Pelodiscus sinensis: one gene and its partner. The protein of the gene in region 1 interacts with the protein of each later gene in a pairwise test. Links are inferred from orthologs where the notes say so. Each region holds a gene or a part of one and is shown on either strand. Other genes may lie near its edges.

What was found.
Region 2: the proteins of OTX1 (region 1) and VWC2L interact in binary tests that used the Homo sapiens proteins (3 or more experiments, as listed by UniProt). The two-hybrid records come from large-scale screens. The link is inferred for Pelodiscus sinensis from reciprocal best matches to the Homo sapiens genes OTX1 and VWC2L.

The regions. Positions count from the first base shown.
Region 1 is NC_134713.1:185,274,583-185,282,640, reverse strand, and holds the start of OTX1 (homeobox protein OTX1), read left to right. Parts: upstream 1-4,878; 5' UTR 4,879-5,015; intron 5,016-6,504; exon of another isoform or gene 6,505-6,580; intron 6,581-7,649; 5' UTR 7,650-7,782; coding exon 7,783-7,879; intron 7,880-8,058. UniProt on the Homo sapiens protein: Probably plays a role in the development of the brain and the sense organs. Can bind to the BCD target sequence (BTS): 5'-TCTAATCCC-3'.
Region 2 is NC_134717.1:60,601,774-60,609,416, forward strand, and holds the start of VWC2L (von Willebrand factor C domain-containing protein 2-like), read left to right. Parts: upstream 1-4,578; 5' UTR 4,579-5,110; intron 5,111-7,283; 5' UTR 7,284-7,360; coding exon 7,361-7,643. Other genes in the region: SPAG16 (sperm-associated antigen 16 protein), read left to right, coding at 3,486-3,661.

The DNA of each region.
Region 1 (8,058 bases):
TAATAAGCTATCTAAATTTTATAGTTCAGATTCAATCCAGTTATTAAAATGTGCTATATTTACCAGTGTTTATTTCAGAAACGTTTTACATTTTATTGTATGTATAATATAAATTAAGACTGTCTGATTCGCTCCGAGACCAGTTCTTTACCATGTGATTTGAAAAGAGCCTTGTGATCTGAAGATGTGGTGTGAGATGGGGCTAATTGAAGTGCATCAGTTTACAGAAACATTTTGTCATTAAAGGCTACGCCATTTTTTTATAATTATTTATTACATCTAGTTTTGTTCCCTTCTCCATTTTGTTGGCTCCAGAATGCTGTTCATATTTATTCAGTAGCTATTAAAGTCTGTTCTGCCATTGTGTGCAAACCCCCTCTCAGTTAGAGTTCCTTTTGCTTCCATTGCTCGCTCATTTTTGTGAAAACTGTTATTTATTACAATACTGAGTCATATATAAATTTTCAATAAAAGCTGAATCTTTCTTACCGTTAACTGTTGCTGTCTTCTCTTCCCAGTGTGAAAAGTTTACTTCTGATTGTTTGGGGGGAGGGGAGATGGGGAAAGGTTTATTTAATTTTTAAAATGAATTTGTAAAAAATGATTTGCAAATGCAACAGCTTCCTACCTGGCACCAGTCTAGAGGCAAAAGATACACCTTCAGATACAAAAATAGAATTTTCTTTTGGGGGTGAGGATTAAAAAGCCATGGCCTTGGTTTTATTTGTAAAACTTTTCCAGATACAAGTCTTGTTTGTCCAAGAAGGTTCCAATTTCTCTTTTTTTGGAACCTGTTCCGGTTTACATTAAGATTTTGCAAATCAGACCTCTGGTCACTGCTACTTTGTCCAAGATTTTCAGAACTGGCCACAGTGCATCGTTTTCTTCACCTTCCTTTGCAGTGGCTTGCCTTTTTATAGCTCAGCGGGCCAGATCAAAGCTCTTTGTCAACTCTCAGCGAACTGCAATTTTTTAAAAAATTGTATTTAGTGATAGAACCACCAAGCCAGACAAAAAGTTCAACTTTTGACATGGCGCAGCCGTATGCCTGTATCCGCCTGCTCAACTCATTCCAGTAGCAAACCAGCCCTCTCCCTAACAAAAGGAAGTCTGTTCGACAAATTGGGAAGACCTGAAAATAATAATGCGGCAGGTTTAGGCTTCAGAGTGCCAGCGAAGTTTTACAAGAGACTATAAATCATGCCTCAGTTAGGAAAGGACAGCCCAGCCGGCGCATACAGGAATGCTGCCGCTCAAATCTGCGCCTCCCAGGCCGGGGGAAAAGTTCGTGCGAAGTTTCTGGGACGGGACCCAGTGGCTCCGCGGGCACTTTGGGGGAGCTGGCCCCGCCACCTTCCTGCGCCATGGAGCCCCGGTGAAAATCAAATCCCCTCATCCAATCGCTGCAAAATCCAGCCAAGTGGGGCTAGGGGAGAGTCCCATCTCAGCAGCTGCTCCTGCGCCTGCCGCCGCGGCTTGGAAGAGAGACGCGGTTTTCTGACCCGTGCGGAGAGAACACACGAGATGTTACCAAATCCACCTCGTGAATAATCCGGTTAAAATGATAAAGTGCCAGTGTAAATACCGGGGCTCTGGGCATGTGCCTTCGGATCTGCCCATCATGGGAATCCCTTGCCGAGGTGGTTCATATGCTAAATGAATTAAACCTCTTATCTCCTTTCACTGGGGGATGCGAATCGGGCCCGGATCTGCCTCCTTCTCCCCCTCGCCCTTTGACTCTATCACCCCCGCCCATCACCTCCGTTTCTGGGCTGTGTTCTCTCTTGCCGGCCTGCTGGACCAGCCGCTCTTGATTTGGCCCGAGACAAGTGCGCACTTTGGGGTGGTTAATGTAGGTTAACGCGCTTTCTCGGCGCCTAAGAGTCAGAGGAGAATTGGTTAATTCGCAGCGAACAGCTGTTCGCCCTCGCAGGGCCCTGGGCTGCGGAGCAGGAGCCTGTGCCAATGACACCGGCCACGGCGGAGTCCTCGCTGCTGCCTCCGCTCTGATGAAGGGGGAATAAGTTTTGACAGCTGGCGTCCTCTGGCCTTTTCCAACTGGCCCGTTCAGGGGCTGGGCCCGGCTCGCTTTGCCTTCCCGGGCGCAGGTTTCTCTGGCCCGGGCTCCAGGGGGTGGCTCAGCCCTCGGGCTGGGGCTGTGGGCTAGCGGGGGCGCGGAAGAAGAGGGTGCATGGAACCGGGAGGGGGAGACATGCTGGGGCACGGAGCACAGAGCGAGACGCGGGCGCTCCAGGGCAGCGCTGGCCACTAAGCCAAGGGGCTGAAATGCTCCGGGGGGAGGGGTCAGAAGCAGCGTCCACCGGGCTGTTCTCCGCCAGCAGGGTCCAGCCCCAGGCTCCGGGGCCGCTGCAGGGAGCAGGGAACTTGGGGGGCTTCTCCCCGCGGCATTGCCCGGTTGTTTGGCAAACTCGCTGCAGCCAGCTGAACTCCCGCCCCTCCCCCCCCCGTCCCAGCCAGCCCAGGGGCTCCTGGGTCAATGGGGGCGAGACAGTCAAACGCCCCCTCCCCCCGAGCGCCCCAACCCCTGTAGCTTCCCACGTGCCTCGGGGTCCTGCCCAGGCGCAGCAGGTGCTGCGGGATCCCGCGCACACGCCTCCGGTGCCCGGCTGCAGCCCTGGGACCCTACCCCCCTCCCGGGGGCCGAGAGGGGCTACGGGAAGGCCGGGCCCCGCAGGCGCTTACCTGTGCGCACCCAGCGCTCCCCCTTGCAGCGCGGTCCCTGGAGATGGGTGGGGGCAGGACGGGGTACCCTGACCGCCCCCCCTGCGCCTCCGCCGCGGCTGCTGCGCCGCCGCCTCTGCGTGCAGCCCCCAGCGCGGCGCCAAACTTTTCTCTCGCGCGCTCGCTCTGCGCCGTGTGCCCCCTGCCTCCCCCTAATCCCGGGCTTTTATGGGCTGCGCATTAAGAAAATTCGCCTGCAATTTGGGATTAGACAAGTGCTCTGATTGCACGGGCAGGGGCCAGTGCTACCTGATACCTCCCCGCTCCCAGCCCCAGCCTGTGGGGCTGAGCCCCAGCGCCAGAGCCAAGCTCCAAGCGGGAGCGGGCCGGGCAGCCGAGCCCCGGCTGGCCAAGCAACCCCCTCTCCTGCACGAATAACCGGGAGCCGATTGCTGGGGAGTTGGGCGCAGCCGAGAATATGGGCTTTTTGGCGAGCCTGGCCGGGCTCCCTTTGCCCGGGCGCGCGTTGGAGAACAGCCCTTCCTGCTTAAAAATCGGCCCCCAACTCCTGGCCTACCACCCTGGGACAAAGGTTCAGGTGCCTCAGCGGGGCTTGCTCCCTGTGCCTACAAAGGCAAAGGTAGGGACCCCGGGACTGGTGTCCCCTGACAGCCCTTTACTTTTTGTGAATGGGCTGCGGCGCCTTTGTTCCCCGGAGAAGTGCCCGTGTCGCTGACTTTTGTGGACTATAGAAAGATCTTGTAAACCCTCCTTTTCTTTCGTCCCTTCTCCTCCTTCTACCTCGCCCCCCCCCCCGCTTTGATTAGATGTCCCCTCATCGCCCGAAAAAAAATGTAATTTCGTTTGGGCCGGCGGTCACTTCCTTTGAACATTAGCTCGCTTTCAGCTCCAGCTTCAATGAGAAGGAGTTGATTTTGAGAGATCAACAAAAGACCCGCACCAAAGCCTTATTAAAGGTCCTAAGAAGATCGCCTGGACCCTTTGAGAAGCAGTTAGGGAAACAGTGTGCATCCATGATATTCTGTTACCGTGTTTTATTGGGACGCCAAAGGAAAGTGTCTCGTGAAAAACACTTACTTTGATGCCCGGCCGCGTTTAATTTATTTTGCTGGCAACGAGTTGATTTTTTTTTTTGCATGTTATTATTATTACCCCCTTTTCAGATTTCCCTTTGTGTTATTGGACATTCTCCTATTAAACTACAAAAAAAAGGAGTGATTCTTAGGAAGAGATTAGGGCCCTTCGTTAATATTTATGAGACGGCGCAACTTAAACATATATATGTCGAGATCATTGTGGGGCCTGAGAGCTTGGAGAGGGAAAGCCCAAGTTTATGGTCACCCATCGCCATTCCCTTCGCTTCCTTCGTTGTGTAGGTTTCACGAGCGGCGCGCTTCAAATAAAGGTTGGGACCGATTTTCAGAACGGGCACTTGGGATGTTTCGGAAAGGGGGAAACCCGTGAAACGAAACCCATCCCAGGCCAGCACAATCCTTCTCTCCCAGCCTAGGTCCTGCCCAAACACAAACGGGAACGAAAGGGGTGATTTGCAGGGCGTTGCCGGTGGCAGACCAGCCATCCCAGCCTTCCTTCGTGACATACATTTCTGCGCACTTAGGAGCCCTGGTTCGTACCGGAGCGTACGAAAAAACGGGGGTTGCAAACTTTGGGAGAGCGAGTGGAGTCGTAGAAGAAAAAGTCAGGCTGGGGCAGGACTGGGAAACCCACTAGAAGGAACTTGCTCCACATTCCGGGCGGCCCGGCTAGGCGCTGTCGCCCCTTGGAGTTCAGGTTTGCTCGCTGCGCGCCTAGGGAGAAGCGCTGCTCAGTGCGCGCGCAAATACAACTCAGCTTCACACAGACGCGCACGGGCAGCAATTAAACGCGCAGAAAGTTCCCTGTGGGCGCCGGGCTAGGCGGAGCGTACGCTAGTCCAGCCGGGGCACTCCGGGAGCCCCTCCCCCGAGCTAGTCCCGAGTCACTTGCACCCGGGACGGGCTTTGTCCGGGCAGGACAGCACCAGGGGCTGCGCCGCCGCCTGCCCCGGGGGAGCCGGCGCGCGCGGCAGGGCTGGGGTGGAGTGGGGAGCCGGAGAGGAGGGAGGGGGCGTGCAGAGGTAACCCGCATCCTGAGCTGCCATTGGCCAAGGCGGCTGTCAGTCAGGCTGGGGGAGGCCGGGGATTGGCGCCGGGCCGGTTACGCACTTGCCTCGCGCTCACATACAAGGGTAGGGCGGTGGAAAGGTGATCAATCTTCATCAGGCTACATTTCCAATCACCTAAGCGCCCGGGCCAGACCGCTCCTGCCACAAGGTAACGCGCTGGATGCGCTGCGGGGCCGGCTCCCCCCTGCCCTGCCCCACGCGCGGCCCCGGCGCCCCGCAGAACTTAGCGCTGCCCGCAAAGAAAGTGCAAGGAGCCGCCCCCACTCACCCCCCCCCCCGGGTGGCAGCGCGGGGCAGGGGGACAGTAGGGAGCCCGTTGCAAGCGCCCGGAATCTGGCCCGTCCGCTCCTGGCCGGGGCCTTAGCGGCAGCGCCCCAGGGGTACGGGCAGGTGAGGCTCCTGGTTCCTGCGCAATCTGTCCCGGCGCTATGGGCTGCAGGAGCTTCCCCCCCCCCCCCAGCCCGGACTTTCCGGGAGCAGCAGGGGCGCCCCGGCCCGTCTGCTCTGCCTGGCCCCTTGTGCGGCTGAGCCCGGCTCGGCACCTTGGCCCCTGGTGGAGCCGGGCGAGGCGCTCCGGGCTGCCCGCGTGTCCCCGCCAGACTTTGCAACTCCCCGGCCAAGTTCCGCTCCCTGGTAGCGCAGCTGGCGGGTCCCGCGCGGGGGTTGGCGAAGCCCTGCCCGGGGGTGCTGGTGGGTGTGGGACTCCTGGATTGTGTCTTAGCCGAATGTGCGGCGCCGTTCTCTCCCCGCCTCCTCCCCCTGCCTGGGAGGGTGCCGCTGTGGGGCTGGCAAAGAAACTTACATAATGGGGCCAAATCACTCCAGGCCCGGCCAGGCTCCTCTCCAGGAGCCGCTCAGAGGGAAGCAGGGCTTGGCCTGGCCTGGGGGAACCTGCTGCCTTCGATGCGCCACCGCCAAGCCACGGATCCTCTTTGGAGCCCTCTCTCCCGGCCTGGGGCGCTTCTGTGTCCATGGCGCTCTCTGGGACTAGAGGCGCGGGCGCCGATGCTGGTCGGGAGTCTCTGGGAGGATAAATCGGCCTCCACAGCACCCCTTGGCCTGGGAGGTTAGGACGCTTTGCAATGGACTCGGTACTTTCGGGAAATCCGCAGGAAAGTGCACACAGGCCTGTGGAAACCTCCTGCGTGCGTGTCCGCTCACTCCAAACTGCGAGCTAAACCGGACGCGCTTAATTTCCACCCAGACCCTAAAACCGAAACCCATTTACACTAGAGGGGATCCCAGCTGTCCAGTGCAACAGGTGATCCTGGGAGCTGGAACTACGGGTGCGGGGGGTGCCGTGTTTTCCATCTCATGCAGAGTTTACAGTTGGGTGCATTGGCGCTCAGCATATTACCCCCCCCCACACACACACACACACACACACTATACACATTGCTCCAGCACCCCTGGAGGATGTAAATTAATTTGGAAATGGCCTTAACGGCGAAAACAAACAAACAAACCCCTCCTCCCCCCTTTTTTAAATCTTTCTGGTGCAAATACAGGAAACTCAGCTGGAGACAACATGGCCCTGCACCCAATTAAAGTTTGTAGCAAGTGATTACTTGTGATTAGAGCCGCCACCATCTGTTGCAGGAATTCAGATTTTATTTTATTTGGTTGGTCTCTTCTAGTTTTTCTCGTGGCGGACACTGAGGGTGCTTAGGTGTCTGTGGCCTGCGGAGAGAGATTTCAGGAGCTGGGATCAAGGTTGTGGATTTTTACCTGGAAATTTTTACTTGGCTCTGAGGGGGGGAAATAGATACATTCCAGTTCCGCGGTCCCGCTTGTAAATTCTTTGCTGTTGGAGAACAGCAAGACAAACTGAATTGGCAGGAAACCGTGAGGCGACGGGTTTGAGTTGGCACTTCTCAAAGCCGGGTAAGGTCACCCAGCTAGGCAGAGCAATTCCCCCTTTTATTTATCCCTAGTGAGAGGACGTGAAAACTTCCTCCGTCACCCACACGCACCCCTTGTGCAAATTTGTTTATCACCCCTACGGGAGGAAACCCCTGGAATATGAATTTCAAAGTGCTTCTAAATCTGTTTGGGTTTTTTTAACTGCTACCCATTTCTAATTAAAATGTCCCCTTCTGCTCTCTCTTAAATTAATTATACGTCCCTCTTTTGATAGCTCGTTTTGATTTCTAATCCAATTATCTTTTTAAATAATTGCTTTATCTCCCCCCATCACTTGTACTGTGCCCTCCTCCAAGCCCCCACGGCGATTGTATGCTAATATGGCTCTGCTCTTTAAAAAAAAAACTCACTTCTCGTACTTTTTTTATTTCACTATGTTTGGGGGGGTGTCGGCCATATTGACTGTTCCCCCCGCACACCCTTCTCTAGACGCGCAACAACTTTCGAACAATAATACTGACCACGAAAAGGAGCGAAACTTTCGATTTTATTTGTACTGCGTGGGGTTTTGTTTTGGTTGTTTTGTTGGGTGGGTTGGTTGGTTGTTTTTTGGCGAAGAGAGAAATACAACTCCCTTTGCAACGAACAGGAGTCTGTGCTCTTGTGTCTTTTTGCAATCCACCTCCCCCCCCCCCCGCAAAAAAACCGATTTAATTTAATAGACGCACAAATAGGTAAAACTTCCCTGCGCTTTCGATTCATTTTAATGTGATCGGCGCCGCTCTTCTCTCGCGAATTCAAACTCCGAATCCCAGCGGTGTGTAGCGCGCCCTGCGAAGTCACCGGGTTTTGTCGATTCCGCTCCGAAGAGCTTCTGATGTTTGTCTTTTGTTCCGTGTGTATTTTGTTTTTCTTTTAGGGAGCGAGGAGACTGTTCTGCACCCGGATTTTCTGCCCTCGCCTGGAAGAACCCGTTTTGTGACTTCAAGACGTTTTAAGACTTTTTGTTTTGTTTTTGTGATCAATCGGGGAAAATCTTTCCAGCTTTTAGCATGATGTCTTACCTCAAACAGCCCCCCTATGGCATGAATGGGCTGGGGCTGACCGGACCTGCCATGGACTTACTGCACCCCTCCGTGGGTTACCCGGGTGAGCATCAAACCTCTTTAATTTCTACCCGCTTTGCCCCTCTACTAGTCACTTTACACGGCTTAGCTAGGCCTCGTACAGATCAAGTCGTTTTTCTCCTTCTCTTCTTGCAACGAAGAGAGATGGGATATTTCTGGCACTCCTCTGTACTTTCAAAATGTACCCGAGTATTTAAAAAA
Region 2 (7,643 bases), on another chromosome or scaffold:
ATGATCACTACTGCATCATCTAGCTAGTTGTCACTTAATTTTACTACCATTTTCAGATATTCATGTGAACCAACCAAATAGTGTAAATAGTTTGAACCTCTCTAGTTCAGAACTCCCTGGTCTGGAAACATCTCTGGTCTGGCATGATTTGAGTTAGCCGAATGTCCACTTTTCATGAGTATGGCCAAGTTTCCCGCGGTCCCATAAAGTTTGTTTACAGCCACCAATCCAACTCTCTGTTCTGTGCTGTTATTTAGCTCTAATTTACTCCTAAATGTCCTCTAACAGCCCCATAAGCAGTAGAAGTGCTGGTAATGCTGCTAGACCTCCCATGGTCCAGAAAATTCTTTTGTTCAGATCTAGTCAGGTTCCGAGGGTACAGGACTAGAAAGATTCAGTCTGTACCTGTGTCTTTCAGACGTGATTTAACAGGCAAAGGCAATAAAGATGCACCATTTCATTAAGGCCTGTTCTACTCCCCTCGTGGTCAGCAAAAATGTTAACTAAACACTTAAATGTATTGTTTCAAATATGTATTTGAATTGATTTAGTTTTCTTAAAGTAAAGTAGGACTGTCCAAATCATCTCTTTTGAATCTAAGCCTTTGTTCCCATTTTAAAAGCTGAAATGTGATGGTAACCCCCTACCCAGCTATTTCAGGATTCAGACTCTGAGCTAAAAGTCATTTGTTTGCCTTTTAGGGGAAACCTCCCAGCAACTGCCTATAGAGTCTGGTTGCAAGTAAAATCCATATGTAGTGCTTCTGTCAGCAAAGACTTGCTAAGAGAGAGTTTATAATAAATATTTGCATCTGGTGCTTTGGACACTCTAATCTATCCTACTGATCTTTGCTGTGTCAGGCTTTGTTTTAGGTGAAGAAGCCCAGTAGTTATAAAGGTTTGCAAATGGGGCATATTTATCATGGTTAGCTCTACTTTCATACTTCCACCTACTGTACAAATAGCCATGACCACTCCCGGCATAACCAGTAATGAGATGGTCTCCATGCATTTTTAAGATGATATTGCCAAAACAATTTTGCGAACAGGAGACATTATTGTCTGAAGGGGCAGATAATCTATTTCCAGGATAAAAGTTACATCAGATTCTGCCTTGTAGCTTCAGTGTCCTTAAAATCACATTTTGGGGGGCCAGATTCTTCCCCACACACTTGCATGTGGTCATAAGTCCTGATCAAGCTATTCATAGAGTAAGGTTGCCAACATGTGGCCCTGTTTAAACTACTCTTGCTCACCCAACGATTGCTTCAATACCACATTGACTTTGTCAGCACTAATTCAACTTCTGTGGGTGATTTGTCTTTGCTTTGAGAGGGGGGAAAAAGTACTGTTTGATACATAAAAAGGGCTTTAATCATTGAGGGAATATTGAACCTGTGTCTAATAGCTAACAGTGTTTGACCAGAATCATGACTTGAAATACAATGATGGCTTTGTTGAGCAGCCCATCTGTGCCTTGGAAAGAATGTATTGATCTCTTGTTGGATATAGTTATTGCTGTGTGTCTATGCACATATGTCAAGATCCTGATTATAATTTTGAAGCAGAGAGATTCCCTCATCTGAGAAAATGAAGGGGGAGTCAAATGTACAGGTTGAACCTCTCTAATCCAGCACCCTTGGGACCTGACTGCTGCTGAACCAGAGAATTTGCTGAGCCATAGGAGGTCAATATTGTCCAGAATCATTACCAATTCTTCCACTGCTCAGTGGACTCCTAGAAGACATTTAGAGGTATATTAAAACTAAAGAACAGCACAGAACACTGAGACCCAGGACTGGTAGCTGCAAAGAAACTTTATGGGACCGTGGGAAACTAGGCCACACCCATGATAAGTGAACATCTAGGCCACACCCATAATAAGTGAACATCTGGCTAATTAAAATCATGCTGGACCACAGATATTAGCAGACCAGAGAGTGCTGGATTAGGGAGGTTCAGCCTGCATTGCTAGGTTTTACTGATGCTTTTTGTTTAAACTGCAAAATAAGAAATTTATAAATACATCCTGGACTTGTCCCAACTGATAAAATATAGAGGTAGCCTGATTTGTAAAGAAACATAAGGAAACTTTGGACTCTTTAAAATCTTTTCTCCCCCTTTTAACTGCTGTATCCACATCTGTATTAACTGTTTAATTAGGCTGGGAGTTTTCACTGGAACCTATCGGTGTTATGTGCCCAACTCCTGTTAATGTTCAGTGGATGTGAGGTGTCTAAACTCATCTAGGCACCTTCATATATTATGTTGAGAATATCAATATTAAATGTTGGTGGGCCTGGTTCTGGTTCAGGTTCATTTAGACCAAAGGCATCTTAATCCAGATGTGCTGACTGATTTCAGCAAAGGTACCTTCAATGAAGGTGCTTCTATGTGAATCAGAATTGGGCCCTATATTATGTCAAAATCCCAACTGCATGTATAAAATGATGAAGGCCACTCAAGCAAAAGAGTTGCCAGTCATTGTGGATAGTTCTCTGAAAACATCCACCCAGTGTGCAGTGGCAGTAGAAATAGTAAAGAGAATGTTAGGGATCATTAAGAAAGGGATAGAGAATAAGACCAAGAATATCTTATTCCTCTGTATAAATCCATGGTGCTCCCACATCTTGAACAGTGCATACAGATGTGGTTGCTTCATCTAAAAAAAGAGATATTGGCATTGGAAAAAGTTCAGAAAAGGGCAAAAATGATTAGTGGTATGGAGCAGCTACCATACGGAGAGAGGTTAACAAGACTGGGGCTTTTCAGCTTGGAAAAGAGACAACCAAGGGGGTATATGATAGAGGTCTATAAAATCATGACTGGTGTAGAAAAAAAGCGAATAAGGAAGAGTTAGTCACTCCTTTCCATAACAGAAGAACCAGGGATCACCAAGTGATATTAATAGGTTTAAAACCAACAAAAGGAAGTACTCCTTCATGCAACTCACAACCTGTGGAACTCCTTACCAGAGGATGTTGTGAAGTCCAAGACTGTAACAGGGTTCAAAAAAGAGCTAGATAAATTCATGGACGTTAGGTCCATCCATGGCTACTAGCCAGGATGGGTAGGGATGGTGTCCCTAGCCTCTTGTCAGAGCTGAGAATGGGTGACAGGGATGGATCACTTGATGATTCCTTGGTTCAGTTCATTTCTTTTGGGGCACCTAGTGTTGGCCAGGATACTGGGCTAGATGGGCCTTTTGTTTGACCCAATATGGTTGTTTTCCTGTTCTTAAACTAAAAACAAAGTACCTGACTTTCCAATGACCAGCCAGGCCAAATCCTTAGCTTCACTTTATCACTCTAAAATGGAGTCTGTTGTTATTGACTGGTGCTACTTTCCGATAATGGAGTTCGAGGATCTGAGATCTAGCATAGGGTATGCTACCTTTGGTGCATTGTATGAAAGAGTCCATGGCATAGGACTGGCTCCTGCAGACCTGGCCCTCTGGAGCTTTGATTCCTTTGCTCTGAATTGCAGGTCACCTTGTAGCCCTTGCGAGTAACGATGGCACGGTGAAGACCTTGAACGTCAGCTCGGGGCAGCTTTCCAGCCTGGCAGGCCATGAGGGCGAGGTGCAGAGCGTGGTCTTTGATCACAGGGCAGAGCACTTGCTGTCGGGGGGCTCGGATGGGACCGTCCGGCTGTGGTGCTGAGCCCCTGGAGGTGGCTGGATGGAAGAGGAGGAGCCAGGCTGCAGGGAACCAGCAGCAATCAGCTGGCTCAGCGCCTTCACTGCTGCGTGCGCGGGGAGCGCGTTTGTAGCTGGGCCCAATAAAACCCAGCGTGTCTGTGTATGTTGTTCTGTGTGTGTCTTTCAGGGCCCCGGGACCCTCCTGTGGGGGCTGCGGGAGCAGTAGCTTCCCAAGGACGCCTAATGCCAGCCCAGACGAATTGCAAAGAGCCTGGTTTGTTCCGTGGCACAGCCAGCTCCCGGCTTCCCCACCCCCAGCCTCGCCTGGGAGCTGCCTTGAAGTTTGACTAACGCAGCGACGTGGGGCATTCCCAACCCCCTCCCCCCAGTCTCTGGCTGGGCAGGAGCGCACAAGAGCTGGCGACAGGCGCCTGATCTCTGCCTCCTCCTGCAGGCGCGCCAGGGCGCTTCAGCCTTAGCACCGGCGCTGCCTGGGACTCAGCCCCGCCGTGGGCTGCCCGGGGCGGCTCTCCCCGGCTCGGAGCCGGCCCGTCTGGCTCTGGGGGAGGGCGGGGACGGGGGCGGGGTGGGTTTGCCCGCTCTGGCGCTCGGCGATGCCCCCACCCTGGAAGGGCTCCTAGCGGCCGGGGAGCCCAGCCCGTGCGGGGCGCTGTCCGCGGTACTGAAGGGATCCCCGACTGGGCACTGCGCGGCGCTGTCCACGGTGCAGAAGGACCGCGAGGGGGGCTGTCCGCGGTGCTGGAGGAAGCTGGGCTAGGATCTGCCCGGCGCTGTCCGCGGTGCTGAAGGGAACCCGGGCTGGGCACTGCGGGGCGCTGTCCGCGGTGCTGAAGGGAGTCCGGGCTGGGCTCTGCGGAGCGCTGTCTGCGGTGCTGAAGGGATCGGACAGGGGCGCTGTCCGCGGTACTGAAGGTAGCCGGGCTAGCAGTATGTGCCCCGCCGCAGAGCCGCTGCGCTCCGTGGGGCTGAAGCCCTGGGCAAGTTGCTCCCGTGCCTGAGCCGGCCAAGTCCCCTCCCTTGGCCCGGAGAGGGGGCGGACGCGGCGCCAGGGGATGCTGCCGCCTGCATGCCATCCGGGGCTGGCTCCCAGCCGCCGGTAGCTGCCGCGCAGCCAGCCCGTCCTCCTGCGGCGGGGGGTGTGGGGAGGCTCTCAGACGCCCAGACCCGCGGAAAGGCAGCTGGAGGCGATGCGTGCGCTGCTGCTGCTGCTGCTGCGGCTGAAGACCAGGGGGCTGCGAGCCACTCTCGCCTCCGGAGCGGCTCTGTGAAGCCTGAACGCTGGGCGAAGCTGCTTTCTCCGGTGGCGGCGGCTGCTCCGGGCTGGGACATGGGCAGGGATGCTCCGGGAGCCGGCGCTGGACGAGTGATGTGCTGCTAGTGCTAACAGATCGCCCAGCCGTTCCATCCAGGCTGGCCTGTGACCCCCGGCAGCTTTTCCCCAGCCTGCGAGGTGAGTAGCAATGACTCGGGGGGAGACCTGGCTTGCTCGCAGGGTCGGACCCATCGCTGGGCATGAGCAAGGATGGGAAAGTTGAGCTGCTCACTAATCCGTAGCTGAGCCGGGTTTGTTTACTTGGGGACCCGCTTCCCGAGAACGAAGCTGCAGTCGGGTCAGTTTCCTTCCCATTCGTTAGACTGGGTCTTTGGAATTGGTGTGTGGTAGCTAAGATTAGCCCACACCAGCACTGATTTATAATGCTTTGCTACTGAGTGCCTGGCCATCAAACTTGGGGTAGCTTCATTGGGCTGCTTGGCTCATTGCACATTACCTCAAATATCTGTTTCCCAGTTGCTCTTTTTTTTTTCGTAAATCTTCACTTGCCTGACCATAGAAAATTGATGCCTACCTGTGGCTTGGTAGGTGAGCAAAACTCTTTACTCTCCAAATCTCTAATGCAGACGTAGCTGGGTGCATCCCACTTAGAAAAAACAACAACACAGCATGCTACAACAGCTGTGGCTGGCAGTATTTCAGTGCCTTACCCTTGTGATAAAAACATAGCTAGCACTTCAATTAAGAGGATATCTTTTGATTTTGACAAAGCGTGTGTAATATCCGGTGTCTCCCTCTGTAGCAGTTTTGGGAAAACTGTCTTGCTTAGCAGGATCCGTTAGCTTATCTTGTGAGATTATAGCTTCCTCCTGATTCATTCTTTTTGACAGATTTTTAATATAATCTGAGTCGACAGGAAATGTCTCTTTGGGGAGGAGGAAGAGGAAACAGATCTCTATAAGTATGTGTGTATTGATGGGGGAGGGGTTGGTTGTGTCTGTGTTCAAATGCTCATAATTTTATTTATTCAAGTAGTCCTGTGTATGCTATTAGCAGGCAATCCATACCTGACTAGTAATAAACATAAAACTAATATTCCAGTTACTAAAAAGTTTCCTGCAAATACTTTTCACTCTAGGATGACCGTTCCTTGCCCCATTATCAGAAAACCAGCAAGAGACCCTTTTTCTGCTGGCATTACACTGAAGTCCAAATGGCATTTAGAAAAGGATTGAAAATGCACACCTTGATGACAGTGGTGTGACACACAACACAGACAATAAAGTAACAGCAAATCATATGTGGAGTGCTCTTTCCTGGGATAGGGATGGGCTTTCCTTCCTTTTCCAATCTGTCAATCATTACCTTGCCCATTTAAATATTATTCTCCATTGCCAAATCCGCTGGCTGTTCTATGTAGCTGTGCTGGCATACTAAGTTTTAGCATGGAGACTGTCACTAACCTAATGAGACAAATCTATTATGGTAATGCCGTGTACATGCCAGACATTTTAAAATACTGATCTATGAACTCCTCGCTGGACATTAATATAAGTCTGAAAACTGCTGCCCTGAAAAATGTCAGTGTCTAGAAATGCCAAATAAGGACAATTACACTACAGAAGAAGGAGAAGAAACCTACAGGCTTGACAGATGTTACCAGCCCAGCCTCTTTACCTTGCTCTGTAAAAATACCATATTTAAAACACTGAGGAATTCTAACTCTCTAAGCCTATATAAGATACAGGGTTTTGTTTTGTTTTGTTTTTCATATGGGAAGCTCAGATCAGACTAAAGCCCATATAATTCTTGTTTTACCTTCTGTGATTTTGTCTGATAAAGCTTCTCTGGCCTTTTTATCCTCTTGATTTTAAGAAACTGAGCCATGCATTGTAGAAAAGAGTAGGTAGTGGTTACACCAAAAAAGAAAGGAACTGTTTTGATCCCAAGTTCTGTGCCAGTGAACTGCCTACTTACTATTTCAATTTCAGGCAATTATTTCATTTCTTTGTGTTTCCAATGACCAATATTTTCCAAATAGGAAAAAGCAAACATTAGGCATCATGATAAACCAGCATTTGATTGGAGATTTTCTATAGGCCCTTGTATGCATGAACTGTATGTGTACATTTGTCTCTCTCTACATCTATACAAATGCACACTTTATTGGCCCTATGTAGCATGTGTTGTTTTTCTTAGGAATAACTGAGGAGAAAAAACTGCTTTCAGATTAAACAGTTTTTAACATCTGCATGTTTTGAAACCACTGGTGTGGGTTGAAAGTGTGGTCTTCCTATGTCTGCTTTTGTGACTATTTCAAGTTATTCTTATTTTAACTATTTGTTTTCAGACCACTCCTCTGGTACCCCTATGGAAGCAGCTGTTTCTATCTGAGATTAGGACCGTATATGGAAGTTGAGGAGGGGGATGGCTTGTCATATCCAAGAAGCATGCCTACTTCTGTTACTAATACCTGGGTTGGTCACCCCAGCTGCCATCAATCATGAAGACTACCCTGCCGATGAAGGCGACCAGACCTCCAGTAATGACAATCTGATCTTTGACGACTATCGAGGGAAAGGCTGTGTGGATGACAGTGGCTTTGTATACAAACTGGGAGAACGTTTTTTCCCAGGGCATTCCAACTGCCCTTGTGTCTGTACTGAGGATGGGCCTGTTTGTGATCAACCCGAATGTCCTAAAATCCACC